2 linked regions of the Notamacropus eugenii genome follow. The protein of the gene in region 2 purifies or fractionates together with the protein of the main gene of each other region. This does not show direct contact. Links are inferred from orthologs where the notes say so. Each region holds a gene or a part of one and is shown on either strand. Other genes may lie near its edges. The genes, in order: ERLIN2 and ITPR1.

The links.
Region 1: the proteins of ITPR1 (region 2) and ERLIN2 purify together in Homo sapiens (affinity purification with western blotting, with the first as the bait; 4 studies listed by BioGRID). This does not show direct contact. The link is inferred for Notamacropus eugenii from reciprocal best matches to the Homo sapiens genes ITPR1 and ERLIN2.

The regions. Positions count from the first base shown.
Region 1 is NC_092872.1:623,276,681-623,289,063, forward strand, and holds the start of ERLIN2 (erlin-2), read right to left. Parts: upstream 4,910-12,383; 5' UTR 4,788-4,909; intron 3,533-4,787; exon of another isoform or gene 1,392-3,532; intron 1,069-1,391; 5' UTR 1,054-1,068; coding exon 947-1,053; intron 1-946. UniProt on the Homo sapiens protein: Component of the ERLIN1/ERLIN2 complex which mediates the endoplasmic reticulum-associated degradation (ERAD) of inositol 1,4,5-trisphosphate receptors (IP3Rs) such as ITPR1.
Region 2 is NC_092874.1:441,488,419-441,500,888, reverse strand, and holds the start of ITPR1 (inositol 1,4,5-trisphosphate-gated calcium channel ITPR1), read left to right. Parts: upstream 1-6,420; 5' UTR 6,421-6,600; intron 6,601-7,441; 5' UTR 7,442-7,517; intron 7,518-12,470. UniProt on the Homo sapiens protein: Inositol 1,4,5-trisphosphate-gated calcium channel that, upon inositol 1,4,5-trisphosphate binding, mediates calcium release from the endoplasmic reticulum (ER).

The sequences.
Region 1 (12,383 bases), on a different chromosome or scaffold from region 2:
CTTGGCAACAAACCTTCTGGTGATGAGCCTCTGGGCAAATAGTGAGGCTGGTTCACAAATCCCCAGATCATACCCAAAGCCCCTTCAGCTTGGCCGGACCTTCCAGAGTATAGTCAGTAGATATTTTCTGAGAATCCAGAGTCATCTCCCCACCATGATGAGGTAGACTCAAAGATTAAATCTTTTGGATAACAGTGCTAAAAGTGAAGATAATTGGGTGGCTTATTTATTCCAACAGAAATCTCTCAGAAACCTCCTTCTCCTCCACTGGGTACAATTTTTAAGAAGGGCCCCAAAGTCATTGGTGTTTTAATTAGACAAGGAGGTAACACTGCCCTTTCCTGTTGTCATCAAGGGCAGGTATCTAAGTTGACTTCTTTAGGAGCAAGCAAGAAGCCTTTTAAGCCAAATGAACAGAAAACTGACTTCCAGAACCATTCTCAAACCTTTTCATTTTGCCTCTGAACCAGCATAGATTGAGAGAAAAGGTCTGGGTTCCAATTACAGCCATGTGACGCTGGGCAAATTCTCTGATCCTTAGCTACTTCATCTGCAAAATGGGAATGCTATTCCCTCGAGCTACCCACTCCACAAGGTATATATCGTAAGGAAATTCCTTTGTTTGGCAGTGAGCTGTTACTATGACTAATATTGTCACCTGCCATCAGTAGTGTCACCTGAATGTGGCTAGACAGAGTATCCCAGTTTTAGCACAGTTTTAAGCTATTAAAGCTCCAAACTGCATTGAGATTTCTGGGACACCCTGCACATATAAACAGATCTATCAGTAGTTGTTACTATACAGCAGCAGTGTAATAGAATGCTCCTGTCCCCCAGGCAAACGAAACCAACAAAACCAGAACTGAGCACTGGCTGCAGGAAAGCAAAGAACCATCCTGAATCTCAGAGAGCTGGAAGTCTCTGCAGCCCTGCCCCTTCCTCTTACCTGTAGTACACCCCAATGTGCCCTTCTTCAATCTTGTGCACAGCGGAGAAGAGGGCTGCACAGAAGAAACTAGTCGCCACAGCCACCACTGCCCCTACTTGCGCCATTGGGAAGCTTTTACTCTAGAGAAAAGGGTACAGGGAAACACGTGATGGTTAGGACTCAGGAGAAAAGCTACAACACTATTTCACCAACATGCATACCTTGCATCATGCATAGCTGACTCCTCAGATTTGTTCCTGTCCTAATGCCAGTGGAACATAAAACTATATTTGCAACTACTTTCACCTGATTTTTTTGGGGGGGACAGCACAGCAAATTCTAATAGAAAAAATCAAGGAAGTACATGTCATCAAAAATAAGGAGAAACATCATATATTAGAATTTGTTAAATGCAAGGTACCCTAGGGAGGATCTCTGAGCAAATTCAAGAAGGCAAAGATACCTCTTTGCAAGGGCTTGTTCTCTTCTCTATATATTTTGCATCTGAATTTGTCTTTTGGAGTCATCAGTGCAAATGCAGATTCTCTGAGCATGAGAAATCACATGATCCCAGGACTGAGGCTTTTATTCTTGCCAGAATAGCCAGACCCCTGAATTGCTCGACTTGAGTCTTCAGCCTCACTGACTGGATCTCGTGGGATCCAAACTGTCATTTCATCTATAGTATAACATCCTCACTCTCTGAAGCAGAGTTTGAATGCCTGACAAGCATTCAAACTCTGCTTCAGAGTACAACTCTGATGGGCTGGCCATGTTGCTCAAATGCAAAATGTATGCTTGCCAAAAAGACTATTTTATGGAGAACTTGCATGGGGTAGGTGATCACATGGTGTTCAGAAGAAACAATACAAGGACACTCTCAAGAACTCTGGATTTGATTGTGCGACATAAGAGACACTGGCACAGGACCATTCCACATAGCATGCCCACATCAGAAAAGGTGCTACGCTCTCTGAGCAAAGCAGAACTGAAATGGCACAAAGGAAACGCAGGATGTGCAAATTTGGAGCAACCACCGCAAATGTTCATGTGGACTATCTGTGCTCAATCTGTGGTAGGGCACTCTGAGCTCATATCGGTGTGATCAGCCAGTTGTACACGTTGAAACTTCACTTTATCATGGTGATGTCATTTTGGTCCTCTTCAAGAACGAAGGATAACAACTAACCATCTTACTACAAAACCTCTCCAGAGTCTTTATGGGTATTAGACTGCCTCTAATTCTGTTGCTCTTTACCCAGGATCTTGTCTTACGTGGCCCCAAAGATTGTCCCTTAAGGATCAGTAGAAGGAAAACTCTTGAACAACATTTCTATCTCCTAAAAAGTCCTATAATCCAAGGGAGAGCATAGGATAGAATTCAGATTCATCTTTCTCTTCTTGAGAGCCCTGGAGACACTAAACAACCTAGGATCTCATGAGTTAGAGAGGATTTTTAGAGGCATCACTTCTCCTACCACAATAACAAGTCATCATTCAGGCTCCATTTGAAGGCTTGTAGTGATTGAGAAGGCTCTCCTTCCCAAAGTAGCCCATCCCACTTTTGGCATAGTTATAATTGTCAGAAAGCTGTTTCTTGTATTGAGCTGAAACTTGCTGTCCCGCAGCTTCTGCCCAAGGTATCCAGTTGTGCTTTCTGGGACCAAGCAAAATAAGTATAATCCCAATTCCTATTGACAGTCCTTGAAAAACTGGAAAACTGTGATCCTGTCCTTCCTACATTTCTCCTTTGGCTAAACACCCTCAGGCTCTCAACTAACTGATCTTCCAATGGCACAGTCTGAAGGGACATATATTTGTCAAGGGGGAACAGGCCAGCTGCAAGTGCTGACTGACCAAATTATACAGGATGTCAAACGAACAGGAGACTATGGCTATGTAATTCCAGCCAGAGCCACCCAATGCTAACTGCAGGGTATTTCAAAGGAAACTGTTATTTACTCTTTTCACATGCTAGGGTGATAGACAGTATACGCACAGCAGGGTTCCAGGGCAGGATTTTCTAGAGTGCCTCCTCCTCTCTCCTTTCCCCCATTATTCATTTGGCCCTTAGTAGGGTAGGGACTTGTCACTTGGGAAAACGACTGAACACACAGCACTGCCTTATACACGGTACTTGAATAACACTTTATAGCTGATTATTCCCCAAGGATATCTGTTGAGACAAGCAAAAAGGGCTCAGAAGTCTAGAGTCTGGCCATGAATATCCAGCTGAGCTTAGACATCAGAAAGCTTTAGAGAAGTTATTACTGCATTTATTTTTTTGGCAATGACCTTTGAATAATAAGGGTCAACTTTTAACTCTTATGGGCCCTTAGCACCCAAGATTTACTGCCAAGACCATTTTTCATGTCATGGGACTGTTGGAACAAAATAAGTTCTTTTTGAGAGGGTGCACATACTACTGCTGTGGCAGCCACTTCTTAGATTTTCCACTTCTGTTCAGTTTTCCAATCAGGAAAGAGGCCTTGAAGAAAAAAATACCTTTTGTCCAACCATGTGTAATGATTTTTCATTTGGTAAACAAAGTCGCTGTAACTATACTGGTAAGGGCTGAAGGAATACAGTTTGGAAATATTAGTCAGTAGCTGGTTAGTTGAATCCCTATCAGCGAATTTTACCTTCTTCTCCTTCAACAGAAGGTGGGCAGGAGAATGGGAAAAGAAATAGATAGCAGGTATCCTCAAAGCATTAGCTTACACTTGCAAAAAAGCCAAGATTGAGGTCTCTGGATTCAACAGTCCCTATATGCCACCAGACTGGATCAAAAGCTGGTGCAACAGAGAGGTCAAAGAGTGCTATGGATAAGGTGGGGCTTGATCAAGTCCCACTTTGGGGTCCAGGAGGCATGTGGTTGAGGTGTAAAGTATTCTGGATTTGGAGCCAGCAGATGCAGGTTTGAACGTTGGCTCTTCAGTTTAACATTAGGTAGCATTTAAATGGTGCTTTGATGTGGTGAAGAACTTTGCACTAGCTAGCATTTATTTATACAGCGCTCTAAGACTTGCAGTGCACTCCTCCTTCCCTAGCACTAACACAGCGCTTTAAAGCTGGCAAAGAACGCTACACTAGCTGGCATTTTTGCCTAGCTGACTTTGAGCCGCTTCTTCAGTCGTGTCCGGCTCCTCCGTGGCCCCAGGGCGGGTTTTCTTAGCAAAGATCCTGAAGCGCTTGCCATTTCCTTCCCCTTCTCACTTTACTGAAGAGGAAAGCAGGGTTACGGGCTTGCCCCGGGGTCCCCGGCTGGGGAGTCTTCCTGCCCCCAGGCCGGGCACTCTGCCCACCGGGCCATTCGGCTGCCCTCTAGCTACCCTCACCACAGCCCTGGGAGGGGGCGCTCGCTATCACCCCGCTTTGGCGCCCAGTCCGCTGCTCCGGACCGCCTCTGGGCCACGGCACCTCCCCGGGCCTCAGCTTGGTCATCTCGGAAATGGGCGGCTTCTGACGGTCAGTCCGAGGCTGGGCCTTATCCCTCACAACACCAAAGCTGCCCAGGTCGTTGGCGTGGTCCTCGGGCCTCACGTCCGTCCAGGGCGGGGCGGGCCAAGCAACGTCGGGGGGCAGACGGCGCCCTGGGGCAGCGAGTGACCGAGGGTCAGGCGCGGAAGGGGCTTTGGGGATCCTTGAGTCCGGCCCCCCTCCCCCTCCGCGGACAGACGAGGAAACTGAGGCCCAGAGGTGGCAGGAGTCGGGAGAAGGCGGTGGGCTTGCAGACCCCCGCCCCGGAGGGTGGGAGCCCGAGCGGGGGGGCGGGGGGCGGGGGAGGCCCCAGGAGGGGAGAGAGTTGGGGGAGCGGGACGGGGCGGCGTCTAAGGCTGTCCCTCCTGGCGCTCAGTACCTGTCCGAGCTCCCTCCCCGGGGAGCCGCTGCCACTCCGCTCAGCACAGCACGTTTCCTCCTTCCGGGTCCGTCGCCGCCGTGACACGTCATCAGGAGGCGCGGGGGGCAGAATTCCTGTGTCTCCCTCTCTCCCTGAGCCTTCCTTCCCTGCCCCGCCCCCACCGCGCCTCTGCAGCCGGCCGCGTTCACCCGGCCCGATCGGCCACAAGGGGGCGCCCATCCCTCGGTCCCACCGACCCCCGGGAGGGCCTGGGCAGCGAATGGATGGATGGAGTCCTGTGGGGTGGGCAGACGGGGGAATAGAAAGTCGTGAAGATGGGGGTGAGGGGGAAGGAGGAGGATGTCGGTCTTGCCCTCCTGCCCTGGCCCAGGATGCAGGGATCAAGTCTCCCCATTTCACAGACAGGGAAGCTGGGCTCATGTCTTTAAGAGGGAAATCACGGGACCCTTTCGTGTTAGAGAGAAAGAGGGTCTGGAAGGGGGGCGGGCGAGGCCTGGCCAGAGCTTAGACGGGTCACGTCACTTCTCCGAGACTCAGCTTTCTTCTCTCCAGAGATGACTGAGGTGGTAGGACACAACACATAGAGGTTGGCCTTGGTGTTAGGAAGAGTCAAGAGTGGCCAAGGATAGATGGGAAAGTAGAAAGGAAAGGACTGAGCCTTAAGTGCCTATGATGTGCGGTCACTGTGCTAAGTGCTAAGGCTTCACAACATGAAGTCATTCAAGCTTCACAACCTTGGGAAGGAGGTGCTACTATTATCCTCATTTACTGTTCAGGGAACTGAGGCAGACAGAAACAAGTGACTTGCCAAGGGTCACTTAGCTAGTGTCAGAGATGGATTTCAAGTGTAGGTCTTTCCTTACTTCTAGTTTAGTGCACTTTGCGCCATATCCTGCTGTTTTCAACAAATGATCTTCTAGCCTCCACTTAAAGATCTCCAATGATGGGCATCAGGGTAGCTTCTTGTACCATTGGACCGCTCTAATGATTAAGAAGGGGCTGTTCCTTCTGTGGAGTTTAAGTCTGCCTCTCTGCAGTTATCTCTGGCCATTGCAAGTCTTCACTCTGGCCATCATTTCCACTCTTTTCTTGCTGGAAAACTGGGCTCTTTCCCCTTGGAACCTTCTTTGGCTTTTGGTCAACATTGGCCTCGTTTTGCTCAATTCTAGGTCTTTATGGCATTCCCAGATACCTCCATGACAAATGTATTCCCCTTCTACACTCTGTCCTTGTGCAGATCTCTTTTATAGATTTCATTCCCCATTAGAATGGAAGACCCTTGAGGGCAGAGACTGTCTAGCATGCTCTTATTTATATCTCTATGCTTAGCATTTAATAAATACTCTATGTATTTATTGTTTACCCATGTATCTATGTCTGCTATCTCCATCCATCTATCTATCTATTTATCTATCATCTATCTACTCATTATGCCTAGTTCTTTCCCCTGGAGCCTAGCAAAACTGGTTTAATCTCTCTTCCACATGACAGTTGTATAGATATAATGCCTCCCCTAAATATTCTCTAGGCTCAGCATCCTCAGTTACTTGAACAGATTCCCATGTGACATCTTCCCATCCGTCTGTTCTCTGTTCAGCTCCCTTTCTCTGGTTCTTTAGCCTGACAGTTTCCTTTCTACTGCGTCCTTATGAGTTCAGAACTCAATGCAGCATGCCAGGTGTAGTCTGAGGAGAACAGTGTCCCATCACTTCCTTCATTCTCAGTTGTGGCAAAGTGTCTGCAAAGGGAAAGAAGGGTCTTACATCTTCGGTTTTTGTAAGTATTTTGTTAGGTCCAAGATACAAAATTGGAGAGGAGAAGAAAAATGGAAATAAATGCTATGCCTGTGGATGCCTAGAAAGAGGGTGCCTAGAAGGAATGAGGAAGGAACTTAGGTCAGTCATAGGGGAAACTCCCATTTATCCTGGGGGTAGAAATCAGAGACCCATGATCAGGCAGAGAAGACTGAGAAGAAGCAGTAAGACAAGTAGGAGGAAATAGCAGTTCTACAAAATTAAAGGAGGGTATCCTACAAAGCCTAAGAGCTGAAGAGAAGAAGAATTTTTTTGTTGTTGTCAAGTTGGACACAACTCTTCATGGCCCAATTTAGGGTTTTCTTGGCAAATAGGCTGGAGTGGTTTGCCATTTCCTTCTCCAGCTCATTTATAGAGGAAGAAACTGAGCAAATAGGGTTAAATGACTTGCTCAGGGTCACACAGCTAGTGTTTGAGGTCAGATTTGAACTCAGGAAGATGAGTCTTCTTGACTTCAGGCTCAGCGCTCTATTCATTTCACCACCTGATGAAGGCTGGTAGAAGGTCACTGGCTTTAGGCAAGGAAGACAGTTGTTGGTAATCTTGGAAGGAGCAGTTTCACAGAAAACAGGATCATTTGTTTAGGAAGTTGAGAGTGGTGATTGTGAAATATCTCTTCTTATTCCACCACAGAAAGCTCAGTGATTTCTAGATTTTAACATGGTACAGTAGAAAGAATGCCGGGTTCAGAGTCTGAGGATCTGAGTTCAAATTCTGATTTTGCTGCTTACTGACTATATGTCCTTATACAGGTCACTTAACCTTTATGGGAATTGGTTTCTCATCTGTAAAAAGAGGGGATTAGATTGGATGACCACTGAGGTCCCTTCCAACTCCAAATCTGTGATTGAGAGCCTATAATCCTGAGAGTCATATCATAAAGTGGCTAAATCAGAAATGCCCACAATAGGCCATGGTTCAAAGCCACCATAATTCTTACTCATTCTTTATACATTGTAATCTGGTGCTTGGGTCTGCAGAAATAAAGTTGTTAGAAACCTCAGAAAGAGAAGACTTTTTATTTCATCTCCTGCTGGGGCTAGGTGATTTTGTTTCTATTTCATGGAAAGATGTGTAGTATGGTATAATATAAAGAACATTGGGCTGAAAGTCAGGAAAGTTGGTTTTGAGTGGAGGCTCTGACTGTAATTAGCTGTGTGGCCTGAGGCAAACCATGCACCCTCCTCCACCTCAGTTTCCTTGTCTGAAAAATGAAGGAGTTGATCTAAATACCTCTTTGCTCTGTTTGAAAGAAAAAGTTTGGGGACCATGAACTCATCCTAATGGATTGGCTCACAAAGAAGGGAATCGCTTATTCTCTGGAAGGACAGATTTAGGGAGGGGACCTTGTTGTAAATCCAACTGAGAAGGACTTTCATGCCACTTAAAAAAATCAGGCCCGAAACAGCCATAATGTTTGTCAGGCCACATTTTACTGTTCTTAAATAAGTGTGCAGGGTGTGGGAGATGAAATATGGCAGGTATTTGATTTAAAAAGCCGGCACAGATTTAATGTCCTGATAAAATGTATTAAATCTTTTAAGGTTTTAATGAATCTAGTATGTGTTTCATAAATCAAGGAACGCCGGGAAGCCGTCTCCCAGTTTAATAAGAGTAAACTAGGAAATTGCTCTGAGCAGAAGCAAAATACATTTATATCACATTGAAAAGTAATAGATTTTTAAGCAGTGGGGTTTTTCTGGGGCTTTTCTGAGTCGTTTGCTTATTACGTTGCTCTGGTTCCTTCAAATATTAAACCACGGGCAAACACGTGCTTAACCATATAAAGATGTGAAACTGCACAAAGGTAAATATTATTTGTTAGAGCCGGGAAAACAAAGCCTGTGCTTTGCAAAGTTTTCCACCGGAGCCAGACTGTGTTTCTGTACAGAAACCTTCTGGACATGGTTTAACACTGCTGAAGGCAGAGGGGTTTGTTTTTGTTTATTTTTTTAAAGGAAAAGATTATTATTGTTATTATATATTAACTTTTATTAGCCCCTCCTCTTCCCTAAATTCCCTCCCACCTCCCTTTATTCTGAAGTACTACCTTCCCTCTTTCCTACCCTTTTCTCCACTCTCTCTCCGCCCCCAACTGCTTGATTGAAGCGGTGAGTGTATAAAAATCCTCTTTGACTTTTACTGGTTCGCTTTGGAATGGGCTCATTAAGGCAGATTGCCTGTAGTCGGTCAGACTGGCCAGAAGAGGAGTCCAGGAGCCTTTCGTCGCTTTTAAATCCAAGGAAAAGGGGGTTCCCTTCGGTCTTGCTCTTCTCACAGTTTTTGTATACATCTCCCAGTCCCCTCTCCCTCCCACCAGGCCTGGCCTCCTAGTCAAGTTCCCTGGCCCCTGACTGGGGCAATGCCTTCATGTTGGGTGAGGTGGCCCAGGGCAAGGAGACCTTTGCTCTGGGCCTTTGTTCCCAGGTGCCACTGCCTTGGGCAACTGCAGCCTGTGGCGCTGGGGAGGTGGCCTTGGGTCGTCAGTTGGGGGTTGGGGGGCTCCAGCATTCTTGTGCACAAAAGCTGGCAGGGCTCGTGAGCTCTGCAGGGGAGGGAGCGGGGGCCCATAAAGCTCACTGTGGAGAAGCCTGTCCAACCTCATTAGCTGTCACGGGCAACAATACTGATCTGGCAATAAAGGCGATTCCAAACCTGTTGGTCATTAATCACTCGCCTGACAGTTTCGAATGGCGCTGGAAAAACCTCATCCCTTTCCACCACCCCCACCCCCTTCTCCTGCCCAGGCGCTAACGTTTAGAGCTACCTCCATGGGTATATGCGGTTCGTGTGGCTTTTTGTGTTGTTGTCCTGTTCCCCTGGGCCACCCCTCCTCCATGTGCCCAAGAGTGATGGGGGCAGGGGGTGGGGGTGGCGTACCCAGCCTGGGTGGCCTAGAGCTTGGCAGTAAAGAGAAGAACTTTGTAGGGGCAGAGCTGAGAAGTGGGAACTGCAGTTTCCTTGAGGCATCGATCTGGCCACTTTGGGGGTGAGAGGTCTGGTCTCCCTGCCAGATCAGGAGCTTCTCGGGAGCCAGACTCTTGTCATTTTCCATCGTTTTCTTCCCCAGTGAGTAGCTCACAGTGCCCTGACACATAAACTCTAAATCACCTTTCTGGGCCTCAGTTTCCTCATCTGTAAAAGAAAAATCCTGAATTGAAGATCTCAAAGGGCCCTCCTTCCAGTTTTAAATCTTATGATTCTAATAATTAGTTGTTGAATTGAATAGCTAGATTAGCTGGAAAACTTGGAGTGAGTCCTTTCCCTTCCCCCCCAGATATATTGTTTGGATCTCATTTCGTCTGATTCACATCCCACCCATTTTCCTGTTCTCAAGATCAGAGAGCTATGGTGTAGGGCTACAGTGTAAGGCTACCTTCATCAGTGTCCAGAGCACTGGTTTGGAGTCAGAAAATACCTGGGTTTATGTAGTGACTTCTACTTGCTACCTGTCCTTATTTGTAAGATGTGAAAGGTTGGATAAGATATTCTCTAAGCTCTTTTCCAATTCTGTGACATTATGACTGCTCCTTAAATGATCTCCTACCCTTCTTTTCCTACCTATTTCCCCAAGCAGGAGGCAATTCAAAGAGCAACCTCAGACTTTTACACTTCTAGATTCCTTTGCTAGGTCCTGCCCATGACAGAATTTCGAAGCAGGCAGTTTATTTTTAGTTTCCTTTCTTTTCCTTTCCTTTCTACACCCATTCCCTATTCACTTCTCTCCTTTTTTTGCTTTTTAGCTATAGATTACCCTTTCCTGCTTTCTGGAAAGAGAAATGCCATATCAGAATTACTCTAGGGAAAGGACTGAATATCAGTCACTTACCTGAGAGTATGAATTTAAGCCAAAGAATTCCATCTGTTTAAGTTTCATTCTCAGTGGTAGAATTTCAGGGTCTGTAGGTAGGTAGGTGGGTGATTTTGGGTGGGTGAGAAGAGTTCTTTTCTGGGTATCCATGAAATCATAGTATCAAGCCATGGGGAAGGTAATATAGGGTGTAGCAACAACAACAACTCATATTTCTATAACATTTTAGAATGAATGAAGTGCTTCCTTCACAACTGCCTATCATTATCCCTATTTTATAGACGAGAAATGAAGGTTCAGAGAGGTTATCACTTCCCCAAGGTTACTTGGCTGATATGTATCATGGAGGATATAATAATAATTCCTGTTTAGGTAACACACAAGGCTAATACAACCACCTTACAATACTGGTAACATACCTGTTTTGGGGTGAGTAGCATCCACAACTTTAGCTGACCCTCATCTTCAAATCCTTTCTTAGTGCCTTCTTTCACAGTGCCCTGCACTGTGATTAGCCTTATTTTCTCTATTATTGTAGCTGATCATGTCTGTGGTAGTGTGTACAGATACAAAGGGCTTCACCAATGAGTTTAATTGCAGTGACCCCAAACTGTGACCCTATTTAGTTGGTGCCTGTCTCTCTACTTTATAGTTAAGTATGTAGTTAAGAGACCAGAAAAGGTAGGTAGTGGGCTCCTGAGTAAGCCACAGATCGAAAGGAGAGGAGAATTCATAGCCCTTCCATTTTCATGTAGTTGCTCGAGCCTTTTGGAGCTGGGGTACCTCCTTGAAAGAAAGGATCTACTTTTGTCTCATTTTTGTAAGTGATGAAGAGAGGAAGGGCAGGGGAAACTCAGCCAGGAATTTCTGAATCAGCCCTGCAGGTGGTATTCACATGGTGCCCCCTTTGCTCGCAGTTGTCCATATGGTGGGAAGAATTGAAGAGTGGATGGAATGCTGATGGGTTGGGAGGGAAGGAAATCTTAATGCAACCTTGCAGGAAGTATCCAGAAGAGAAAAAAAAATCTGCTCTCCAGTCCATGAAAAATTGGTTTTGATCTCATCTGCATTTACTGTTCTCTCTAGTCACGGTGATCTTCTCATCTTCAGATTCTCTATATGATTAGTGTTCAATTGTTTTTCAGTCACATCCAACTCTTCGTGACCTCATTTGAGGTTTTCTTGGCAAAAATACTAGAGTGGCTTGCTATTTCCTTCTCCAACTCATTTTACAGATGAGGAAACTGAGGTGAACAAGATGAAATGATTTGTTCAGGGACATACAGCTAGTAAGTATCTGAGGCCAGGTTTGAACTTAGGGAGATGTGTCTTCTTGACTCCAGGTCACTGTACCATCTAGCTGTCCCAGTGCCCTACGTGATTAGGGAAACAAACACAAGTGTCTGCCTGCATCTGATCTGTGCAATCACAAACTCTTTTGAGAATCAAATTGAAAGAAAATGAAGGGTGAGGGTATGCTTGAATGCCTGCTTGAATGGGCAGCTAGGTAGGGCGGTGGATAGAGTGTCTGGTTTAAAGTTAGGAAGACTCATGTTCCCGAATTCAAATCTGGCCTCAGACTTAACTAGCTGTGTGACTCTGAGCAAGTCACTTAACCCTTTTTGCCTCAGTTTCCCCATCTGAAAAATGAGAAGGAAATGGCAAAATACTCCAGTATCTTTGCTAAGAAAACCCCAAATGGAGTCATGAAGAGTCTGAAACAACTGAACGACAAAATACTTGAATAGTTACCCCCACCTCCAAGATCTGCTTCTGGATTCCTTTAGACCTTGCTTCCTCTTTAAAATCCTTTAATATAATCTGTTGATTTTTAGAACCTCAGAGTTTGAAGGGACTTTTCCTTCAAGTCTTACCTGTGCTTGACAAGGAATCTCCCATATAACATCTCGAGCAAGTGGTGGTTGAGTCTTTACTTGAAGCCCTCCAGTGATGGAGAGCTCATTATCT
Region 2 (12,470 bases):
ATTCAATTAATCTAGCAAACAATAGATATTTTACGTGCCTGTTATATTCCTGGCACAGTGCTAGACAAATCCGAACAATAAAACCATAGCTCCTCTCTCTCCCATTCTCAAGGATCTGCCTTTAACCAGGGACACACACACATATAATAGATATTTGTAGTCATATTATACATCTACATTATATGTATGTTATATATATTAAAGCTTAAACTCACACTAAGACTTTTGGAACACTCATCTATATATCCCTATCATCTATCTATCAATTGATTAGTCATCTGTCATATATACAGAGAATAAACTCAAGGTAGTTGGGAAAGGAAGGCTCTAGCACTTTAGAAGATTAGGGGAAACTATAAAAGTTGTTGTTTGAGAAGAGTATTGAAGGACAAGAGAGATTCTATGGATTGGAGGTAAAGCCATGGAGACAGGAGATAAAGTTCACTTCCCTAGGAAATCCTCCTTGATCTCCACCTTTAGGTCTTGCAGAGAAGTGGATGATCTGGGTGCCTTCCATGTCTGACCAAGCTTGAAGTGCTCCACAGAACTGCTTCAGCTGCCTTCATGACCCTTGAACAAATTGTTCTCATCTGCCTATCATACTTGGGAAAGTCTTCACATGCTTGGGGTAGACATCCACCTAAACACACCAATGTGTTTGAAGCCTACCAGTTACCTTGTTTAGCCCGTCTGCTGAGATGGTTTTTACCAGGATATGGTCCTGGAGTCACATGTGAGAATTGGGTGAAGGTGGACAGTAAAAGTAGATGAGCAGTCCTGAAAACAGCTCGGCAAGCCCACATTCCAGAAGTGCTAGTCCTCTATTAAAAAAAAATTCAGCAACAACAAAGAGGCAGGAATAAGCATGACTTCAATATTATTGATACCATGACTACTACCTAACATTTATGACTCCTGAAGGTTTTCTATGTACATTATTGCTCTACTCTGTGAGACAGGTACTATTTCTATCCCTATTTAAAGGTGAGGAAACTTAGGCTCAGGTATTTAAGTGACTTGTTCAGGGTGAAACGACCAGTGAAATCAAAGACTGTTTAAACCTGGGTCTTCCTGACTCAGAGTGAGTCCCAAGATGAGACAAGATTGGATTATGGAGGATCTTGAAAGGCAGACAGAAGAGTTTGTATTTGATCCAGTGGACAATAGGAAATCACTGTCGACTTTTAACCAAGGTGGTGATTAATGCAGATTTGACATACTGTAGTTTTATCCCTTCTTTGTATAATCCACATTGATCATTCATTCAGAGCTTCTTATAAATAAGCCTACCATAACTTCTGGAGCAATGACCAGAACCTGAATTGCCACCAGAACCTGAATTGCCATCGTAAACACTCTATTCCTATAAACAAATCCACATGGTACAGCTCTGTTGGTTGTTTTTATATAGCTATCTTGAGGTTGCTAGGTAGAGCAGTGGATAGAGGGCTGGGCATGTTCAAATCCAGCCTCAGAAACTTACTAATTGTGTGATGGTGGGCCAGTTACTGAACCTTTGTGTACCTCAGTTTCTTCATCTGTAAAAGGGAGATGATAACGGTATCTATTTCCTAAGGTTGTTGTGAGGAATAAATAGGATAGTATTTCTCAGTCTACTGCCAGTTGTCTTGATTTTTGTCTTTCCACTGAACTTTGATGACTCTAGAAGAGAGAGTGAGGCGGATGACTTTGTGCAAGTCGGCTTCACTTGAATCCAATTCATGCACAAGTCAAGGCAACGTCCCACAATGTCACTGGTCCTCTTTGGAAAGGAAGGACAAACAATAACATCTCAGAGTGCTCTGATTTCACCTTCTTATATTCAATTCAGCAAAGAAATACCAAGGAAATTACAGGTCCCTATCCCCTATACATAAATGTAAGGATATATGTTGTATATCTCTATATATGTAGATATAAGTAAGTATATATGTGTTTATGTATGTATGCATACATACACACACATATGTTATCTCCCTCTATAGAATGTATCATTTTGTATTTTATAGAGGGAGAAACTACGGTCCAGGGAGAAAAAGTTCTTGCCAAGATCATGCAGACAATAAATACCATATGTGACAGGTGTACTGCATACACTAGTAGAAAGGAAATTTAAGGACAAACTGGTATATCGTAGGTGCTTAATAAATGCTTATTGATCATAACCAGTGTGATATGTTTATTGAAGAAAAAGAATTAGTCAAAGACAGCACGTTTTCAAGCAGAGATCCGATGCAGCTAACCATGAAAATAGCAAAGGCACTGAAGATTTGTGTAGCCTTGGGCAAGTTGTTTGACCTCTCTGGGCCTCACTTGTGTCATCTGTAAATTAAGGGGATTACTCTAGATGGCCTGCGGGGTCCTTTTCAACTCTAAATGTCTGAGCCTATGTTCTGTTCTGTAGAATGATTTGACATTATAATTGAGCTGAGTTCCTGGCCTCAGGTAAACAGTATGGCACAGTGAAAAGATCTTGGGTCTCTAGAGTCAAAAGACCTGGATCCAGACTCTACCTCTGATATTCACTATTTGTATTACCTTGGGCAAGTCATTTCACTTCTCTTTCCTATTCTGCAAAATGTGGGGGTTGAGCTAGATCACTTTTGAGTTTGCTTCCATCTCGATCTGTAATCAAGCCCATTATTAGAAGGAAAAGAAAATTTAAAGGGAAAGATTAGCTTGACTTTGAACATGTTATATTTGAGGTGGTTATTACTCATCTAGGAAAAGATGTGCTCAATAGGCAGTTAGAGCATACAGTTCTGGCTAGGGATCAAGGTCTGGGCCAGGTCTGCATCTGTACCCTGTCTCTTGGGTAGCACATTTGATTTTGAGTTGCTGTGGAACATCCAGGTAAAGCTGAGCCACCAGTCATTGGAAATGTGGGTCTGGAGTTCATCACTGGGGTCAGGCTAGGAACCATCTGCATAGGAATCAGAGTGAGGCCCTAGGAATGAATAAGATTGCCAACAGAGAGAGTAGAGGGAGAAAAGGGAAGAGGATCAAAGATGGAGCCTTGGGGGAACAATGATCTTAAAAAGTAAAGGAATTAGCAAAGCGGGGAGAAAGAGCCCAGTCAGATGAATGAGAGGTCTTTGAAACCCAGAAGTAGGTGTTAGCTGCAGTCAGATGCTACAAAGGAGGTCAAGGAAGATGAGGGCCTTTGGCAAAAACTAAAACTTCCTTCTCTTCACAGATTAGGGATGGGCAAAACACTCTCACTCTGATTATATCAGAACGATCTTGGTAGATAAATTTTTTTGGTAGCTGTCAGACTCCAGGGTTAGTGATGTCAAACTGGGCCAATCACTTTTAGGTTGTGACTTGAAAGGTACCAACTGACCCCTTTCTCCCACCCCTGAAATTTCTTCTATCATTCTGCCACTTGCCTGAAATTCTGGCCATTAGAGTAATTTGTTTGGGTTAATGTTTCTCCCCCAAACCCTTACTAAAATGCCTGGAAAGGATGATGCATAAAACTCTTATTGTGGCCTACCATTGCCACCTTTAAAAATAGAGAAGCAGGACCTTAGGTGATGAGACAAGCAAATTCTCACCTGGTGAAGTGATACTAGGGAAGAGAAAGATGAGATATATTTAAGCTCTGGGGACTGCCAAGGAGGGGAAGTATCTAATATAATAATGTGCATGTGATAAGTGTTTAATAAATTTTTGTTGAATTGATTTGGGCTGCAGAGGAGAAGGGATCTAGGTAGGACTGGGGGTGGAAAAGGAGTCTGGTAGCTTGGGGGGGAGCATAGAAGCACCGGGAACTAGGGGGAAAGTTGAAAGAGTGAAGGTAGTTTCAAAAGGAAGGAGGGAATGAAAACAAAAAAGGAAAGGAACATGACAAACTTTGTGGACTTTATAGTTTTTTCTACGATAAAGTGGGCTAGCAGGTGCTTTTTACAAAAATGATGAATGAAGTGTACAGTCAGTCAGTGATGCTGCTTCTCCTTCCCCCGGTCTTCTACTTGTATTTGCAGTGATGTTAAAATCATAGAGGAGCTAGATGGCTACGTGGATAGAGTACTGGGCTTGGAAACAGGAACACTTGAATTCAAATACAGCTTCACACACTTATTAGCTGCGTGATCTTAGGCAAATCACTTAACTTCTATTTGCCTTAATCTACTGGGAAGAAAATGACACATAAGCATCTTTTTCAAGAAAAACCCATAGAGGGTATGGTCCATGGGGTCATGAAGTGTCAAACAGATGCCTAAAACCAACGTGAATTCCATTGAAGCCCTATAACGATGCAATATGGGTAGATTTCTGTTGTTTTTCCTTTGGTTAATCTAAGGTAGTGAGAAAATGACTTGACCAAGCCAACAAACTGATTTAACCTGGAGTGATTTACCAGGTGTCCAAGGCTCAATATAGTGTCCTCCGATGGCATTTAAAGCCTTCCAGAACTCCTCTGACATTTTACAAACTGGTTCCCATTTACCTGTCCAGTCTTACTCTTTATTATTCCCCATGATGCTCCATCATGCCACCAAATTGTCCTTCCTTCTGTCCTTCAGACATGGCACTGTCCTCCCTCTATTCTTGTACTGACTATTTCCCATGTCTGGGATGTACTACCATCCATGGCTTCTTAAAATTTCACTTCTTTCAAAGCTCAGTTCAAGGGCCACCTTTAACAAGAGGCTTTTCTCAATACCCCCTCCCCACGCCACCCCCCCCCAAGTTAATGCCTTAATGCCTCACTCCAAATTGTCTTGCTTTCTATTTACTGCACCGTATGTCCCAAAAGTCTTAGTTCAGCTTTAAACTTTAATAGCTTGGATATGCACTAAGACTTTTGGGACACGGTATTATGTACCTGTATATGTATTGCCTTCGCCATAGAATGGAAGCTCCTTGAGGACAAGGGCTATTTCATTTTTGTCCTTGAATCCCCAGCGTCTAGCGCAGAGCCACGCACATGATAGGAACGTAATAGATTCTTGTTGGTTGACTGATTGGCAGAGGGCACCTTTCGTGGGTGCTATCACCCTGGGGCAGAATGGCCTGCTTTGAAAACAAAACAAATGTGTGTTTTAACAGTTATCAATGCTGAAAGCGAACCCGCAAGCCGCTAGTTTATAGCCCCCTGCTTAGAAGCTTTGGAGGGGGGCAGGAAGTAAGAGGAGGAATGAAGATTAGTCCTCTGGCTCCAAGCTCCTGCCCTCCAGTCTGCTGCTTTGTCAGAGACTTAAAACGACGCTTCGAGTTTAGGTGCTTTCAGGGCTGCATGTCGCCCTCGATGGTTCTGATTTTGTTTGGAATGCTAGTGTTCGCGCTCGTGCGTGTATTCGCTTCCAAATCTCTTCATTAACAAATCGTAACGTTCATTGGTTAGCCCCGGATAATCAAGTTTTCATACCGCCCGCCCCTAGGTAGAAGAGTCCCCAAGGACTCGCCAGTGTGTGCCCGGTGCCCCATGTGCGCCCCTTCCGCGAGGTCCGTCCCGTGTAGACCCCCTCGGATGACCCCCTCAGCCTCCCATGCAAGTCCCATCGCTGACATGCCACTCCAGGGCTGGGGTTTGGGAGTTAAAGGCAACCTTGGGTCTTCATCCTTCAGTCGGAGCTGGCATCCAGCAGTCACTAAGCCCTGGGGATACAGAGAAAAGCAAGACTGACCCCCGCCCCAAACCAACCAACCAACCCAACCAACCCCTCGTTCTCTTTTCCAGGGGAGCGCGCCTTCTAACGGGGGAGCGACTGCACTGGCATTTTTGTGCGTTGGGTGGATTTTTGAAGTTCTTGGCCAGGGTGTATTGGCCCAAACTGGAGTTGACAGCCCATTAAAATGAAACAAAGCAAAAACTTCCCAAAATATAAGTCTAATCCCGGCCCAGAGGCTGCCTAAGAGGCTATCCTTCGAGGGTCTGGGGTGGGGAGGGGCCCGGGAGATTGGAGGCACGCCGCCTCGGACCTTAAGGCTCCCAGCCCAGCCTGCCAGGGCAGGGTCGGGAAACTGTCTGGTTCCTAGAAGACCACACAAAACGACCCTCCCTCGGACCCCGACAAGCCAGAAAGCTCCCACTGCTCTCGCTTCCCCAGAACTCTCCGTTCCCCAGATGCCCCAAAGCCAGGGAGACTATTTGGAACCTCAGCCCGGGAAACCCGAGGCATTCTGGGAATTGTAGTTTTGTTTCACCGCCGGAGGCGCCTGCGAGACCCTTGACTTGGACTACATTGCCCAGGGAGCCACGAGGGGTATATAAGCCGCGGCGAAGCGGAGCCCAAGTGCAGTAACCATGTGGATGTTCTGCTGAACCGTTTCCTGCAACTCACAGGGGTGGGAGGAGGAGGAGGAGGAGGTGGTGGTGGAGGTGGCGGAGGAGAAGAAGAAGAAGGAGGGGGAGGAGGAGAAGCAGCGGCCGGAGGAGGAGCAGAGGGGAGGTGGACGGAGCGAGAGAAAGGCGAGGCACCCGACGGCACGGCACGGGACGGGACGGGACGAGACGCAGGAGGGTGGCGAGCCCGCGTCCATCCTAACGGGACCGAGCTCCAGCTGCGGGGACATGGAATGACAAAGTAGCTGCTAACGCTCTCCGAGCCCGGCTCCCGAAGCGAAGCGGGCACCTCTCCTGGGGGCGACGAGGTACGGTCTCGGGCCGGGGGACAGCGGCCAGCGTGCAGGGAAGTGGCCGAGGGAGACGGAGCAGAACTTTTCTGCTCCGCCCTCCCCGGCGCTCGGGGCTCCGCAGGGTTCGGGGCTGCTGGCACACAGCTGGAGTGCCCTTGTCAGCGATCTGCCCCCCTACCCCCTTGGCATATAGGTCCCCCCTCCGCTAGCCAGAACAACTGGAGGGTTCGGTCCCGCTCCCTCTCCCAGCCCCAAGTTAGGAGCTAGGAACCAGTGGCAGGAAATAGGTCCGGGGGTGAGAGTGTGGAGGGGGCAAGGCAATGCGCGAGTGTATCTCCTTGAGGAAACAATCTTGGGAAAAAAATCCTCCGGCTGCACGCTTTGGGAAAACCCAGGTCTGTGGGGTGCCCGTGGTGCCCGGGTTGGGGGGCTGGGAAAGGTGAAAACGGGGGCCCGAACACATGAGGTTTGGGAACGTAGCCTGTTTGTGTTTGGGAAGCCGGCGGAGGATGCCCAGCATCGCAAAGGATGCCATCCCCTTCTCCTGCAGCAAACAAGTGCTTGGGGATCTGCTCACACTTTTCCCCCTGAACTGTTTGAATATTGCGGAGATGCGAGACCTAGAGTGTTATCTGTCGCCTTTATGGAGTGCGTGCCTGGAACAGAGAAATTCCCTTCAGGTTTTAGATCTGGGCTGAAGCGGAATCGTGGAGGGTCGGAGCAATCAAGTTTGTCGGAGGTCACCTGAGCTAAGAGATCTTTCTTGGTGTCGTCTTGAACAGACACCGCAAGAACTGACATTCTGTGGCCCTTGTAATGAGTCATTTTTCTTCCTTTTTTTTTTTTCTTAACTCAGGCGCCGACCCAGTGGAGCAGGAGCCGCACCACCCCAGGTTGGGTGTTCTGTAGATACTGCTGGCTTACTGTGACAGGTGAGTGCAATTAGTAATGAGCTTTGCTTCCTAACTGCCCCCTGGCCCTTAAAGCTGTTAGAAATGGGATGAAGGAGGAGAAAAGACTGTGGGGCTTAGGCTGGTATTGACTGTTCACCTTGCTGACAGTTGTGTGGAGCACACTCATGGCATGGGGTAGTTGAGTTGCCTTAGGGAATCAATCACTACTCCAGCACCCAGAGTCACAATTGCAGTGGGCAAATCAAAGATCTGTAAGAAGGTAGAAGGCATTAAATGGAGGAAGAAAAGAAAATCTGACTTGTTAGGTGGTGTGCATGTGATTTAAATTTTCAAAGTTATACTGTGTTTCATCTGCCAAACATATAAGCAAAATTAACTGCCTCAAAAATAACTTTCTACCAAGTGAATATGTGCTTGTCAGTTTAGGATTGGATGGGAAGAAAGGATTGTCTTTGGGTAAATGAAATAATCACAGCTGATTGGGTTTGTTTATTTATATTGTAAAACTATGTCAAATCTAGACATGAAGGGGAAAATATCAGCACTCAGCAGATGGCCTGAAGCCAAGCACATGTCAAAGGATTCAATAAGTTAATGCTGTTGTAGTGCCTGCTGTGGGATGTGAGTTGGGGCCAGGGTTTCTGCTATAAACACAGGCCCGCCAGCTTTTCCAGATTGGCTTGAGATGCGTTAGTGGAGGGAGGCTCATACTGTGTACATACATCCATACAACTGTAAGCTTGCCCATCTGAAGTTTTCTTCTTAAATGGTCAAAAAACAGGGCCACAGGGGGTGGATGGGTCTTGGTAACTCATGTAACAGTCTAAATATTTAGCTGTTCCCTGGGCTACAGTCTTTGGGTTTTTCTAATTTGAAAAGAAAAAAAAAATCAGACACTTCATTAAAGAGGTGTAGCGCTTTTGTTTCCTGTTGATAAAATTCTCCAGAGTGCTAAAGGAGTGGGAAGCATTTGTAATCTATTCATCTGTATTTGTGGAGAGACTGGGCCCATTAATTCATGTGGTGCTAATGAGGTTAAAGCTGGGAGTTCCATCCCCTTCCTGACCAGTTAGCTCTGTACTGAGCAGAGCAGCTTCATAGCCACGGATTGGCCCTCCCTCTAGGACCACAATGCTTCTCAGATGCCTGTTTTTGGGTCAGAGATAAGGACATGCCAACAAATTCTCTCTATCATATGCTCCATATCCTACCTGTTTATAAGAGCCATATATTTTTGGTTTCTTCAGGGACTAGAATTTTCTGGGATGGTTTCTTGCTTTCTGAAATCAAAGGAAGTTGCTTGGGGTTGTGACAAAGAATGCTGGATGGAGAATTACAAGGGCTCAGGTTCCCCAGATCCTGGTTCTGCTTCTTATTTGTTGCCTATGTAGGTAAATCTCATAGGCTCTCTATACTTCCATATCCTCATCTGTAAACAGGGATAGGGGCTTCACTAATGACCCCTGAAGCTTCTTCTTCTTCTATGCCTGTGTGATCCTGTGATCCTATGCAGATTGAGTGTAACATTATTATCAGAAAACCTGGGAGAATTTCAAAATTTGTCACCTAGAGGATGGATCACTAGGGCCTGCTTGGTCTGTCCAGGTTGCAATCTCAAGAAGAGATGCGTGATTTGGGAAGAAAGCACTGGGCTTGTTAGGAAGCAGTATGGGTCTTTTACTATGAAGTTTTGGATTTAAAAGTCTGAGAATATAATAACTGGTTTCAGCTTAATTCTTTGAACCACTTTCAAAGTGAGATACCATCTTCTGCTAAGTGTTTGCAGGCAAAAGCAAGTGATCATCATAATAAATGGCTAATATCCTATAGTGCTTTAAAGTTTGCAGAATGCTTCCCATGAGACTAGAACATATCATCATTTATTCGTTCATTTTGCAAATACTGTGAGTTCCAGTTCTAACTCACCGTAGGACCTTGACAAATTCGAGTCCCTTTTGTTGGCTTGATTGTCTTTGAAATAAAAGATCTGGACTAGATGGTCTCTCAGGATTCTTCCAACTGATGAAACAGTCTTATCATTCTGATTTATGTGCAAGGCATTGCTTTAGACTCCAGGGAAGATCCCAAAATAATAAGGTATGACTTTAGTCCTTAGGGGACTTATTTAGTATAGTGTAAATGAAAGAAATAGCAGGAAACATTGGATAAAATGAATTTACAGCTTAAGTTGCAGAAGTAATTTTGGTGTCTTTTCGCATAACCTTCGAGCTTACTTTGTTGCCTATTGTACATTTTTTCCCCTGTCTTGGAAGTACAGGCTGCCCTTTGGCTAATCCAACGCAGAGCTGAAAGGCCTCTCAAGGTTTTCTTTCCTTTATCAGCCATGGAAGGTTCTGCATGTTCCAAATGGAATATCTGTCCTTAGTGATTTTTCTTTACAAGCCCTTTTAACAAAACTCTGGTAGAAGCCTATCATCCTGTAGCACTGAGATGAATTATGTTGGCCTCTATGTTGGATCTCATGCAATATGTTTGAAACATGACAAGACAAGACATCATCTACATTGGTATTCTGTTTTTAAAGAGGATAACCCTCTTTGTTCTTTAAGAACCTAAACAGAGGCATCATGTAGTAGAAAAAATAAATGAATTAATAGAATAAAAAAAAGATGAAAATATGTAGGATAGATTTGGAAACGGTTGCCTTATTTAAAGGGAGGAGAACAAAGCTAAAGAAAAAAGTCAGTAAACAAAATTATCCACTTTCAGAGAATTGTTGAGAAAGTATTATCAGATGACTTTCTAGGCTCCATAGGAAATCTGTTTGTGATTTTTTTTAAATGGGCAGCTTATGAAGAAACCAGAGTACAGACAGCAGAAAAATAAAATTTAAATTTGGCTTGGATTTCTTTTTCTGAGTCAATCTGCCCTGGGATAGACCTGGTTTAAGCAGAGTCTACACACGGCAAATGTTTTGCCTTATTTGCTGTTGGTTTGATTTTGTTCAAAACAAACACACACATGTACACATACACTCACACTTCCTGCATTCATAGGCCATCTCTGTTAGATGTGTGATATTAGTTATCGTCCTGTATTCCATGTTGCTGACTTGCTGTCCCTAAAGAGCAGAGCTCAGGATTAGCCGCTTGTCCTGACTAATATTAGTGCATGGACATAAGCATCGTTGTTGTTTTCGGAAAGTGGACAGTGTCTTAGAGGCTGACTTTTGAGAACTAATGAAGGGAATTGAATGCTGGCTTACCATGGCAGTCTGCAGTCTTTAGCAATAGTAGAACAAAATCCTGGAGGACAAGAACTATTTGAGATTTTTCTGAGCTTCCATCCCCAGCATTTAACATGGTCCTATTGGCACTTTTGTCTTTCGTCCCAAGCTGTGATTTCATTAGTGTATGGAAATCCCTGTGTGCCATCTCCCTCCCCTGAGGCAGGTGGGCACCTCTTCTGTAGCTTTAGACACTTTAGAGAGTTGTGTGGAGGTTCTCAAGGTGTCTTGTCAATGGCTACACAAATAATGTCTCGGGATTTGAATCTAGGTTTACCTGGATCCAAGGCTGAACCCTTGCCCACTCTGACATTCTGCCTCTTGTTTTGCACATAGTTTTCCCCAGACTAACAAAGGGGTCAACGGCATACAAAAAATTAGAAAGGAACCCCCAGACTGAGTGTGAGAGCCAAGCTACTACACAAACTGTTTGCCCTCCCCACAGGAGGCCAACATATCACAATCCCTCCAGCCCATACACTGGGCCTAGATCGGTTTGGCTAAAGGAACAGCCATGAGAAATGGGGTTTAAGGTGAAGACATTCTTGCTGACTTGTAGAATTGAGCTCTGTTGTCTCTTTTATTTGACATTTTCCAAACTCTTGCATGTTTTCTCATTGTGACTAAAAATGTCGCTGAACTGTGTGACCATTTCAAAGGTATGAGTTTTATTTTCAGAAACCTGGATTTCATAAAGTTGGACTCCATTTCTAAGTTTTTAGCTGTATGCTTCCTTATCAGTCTGTCAGCATCTGCCATGTATGACGACTACACTGTTGTGGGTACTGGGGATACAAAGACACAGTGGAGATAAGCCCCGTCAACACGTGTGCAGATAGGTGCATGGTCAATGAACAAACTTTTATCAGGCACCTGCTAAGGGCCGGGTGCTATGGAAACAAATAACAAAAAAAATCAATAGTGATTAACTTTACATTGTATTTTAAAATTTGCAAAGAGCTGGTGCTCTCTTTCACTCTCTCCCCCTACTCACACATACATATTTATAGAAGAAGTCTTTTAAGCTTCACACCAACCTTGTGAGATAGGTTCTGCCATCATGATTATCCCCCATTTATAAATGAGGAGGCTGAAGTTGAGAGTTTAAGGCCCCTGGATCTTATGTCTAATGGGCATTCAAGATGGGATTTGAACCCAGGTCTTTCTAACTCCAAAACTAACACTCTATCCATTATGCCATGCTACCTTTCTAATATAAATTTTATGCTAGAATGATTGATCGGGAGCCTTAAGTGATCTTAAAGGCAAACTAGTCCAATATTTTCATTTTCAGGTGAGGAAAGTGAAGAGACCTCTGTCCAAGATCATAGAGATAGTAAATGATAGGGAAAGAGACATTTCCTCTGACTCCAAATTCAGTACTTTTTTGACCATGTTCCTCATATTTCCCAAACCTGTACAAATATATACAATTTTAGGAGAAAAGGAGCATTAACAATCCAGATCAAGAAAGGCCTTATAAATGAGGTAGCCCCTGAGCCATGCTTTGAAAGCAGAGACAGATCCTAAGAAATGGTTAAGAAATAAGTTGCAGGGGAGACGGAGGTCTGTCTTTTTGTTCCTGCTTGGAGTCATTTGTTTGCTTCCATCCAGATTTTATGCTTTGTCCCAGGCAGTTGGCAGTCCCAGAGAGGGAACCTGCACATCCTCCTGCTGGTATTACTAGATCTGTATTATTCAGCTCTGCACCATTCTCTGGCCAT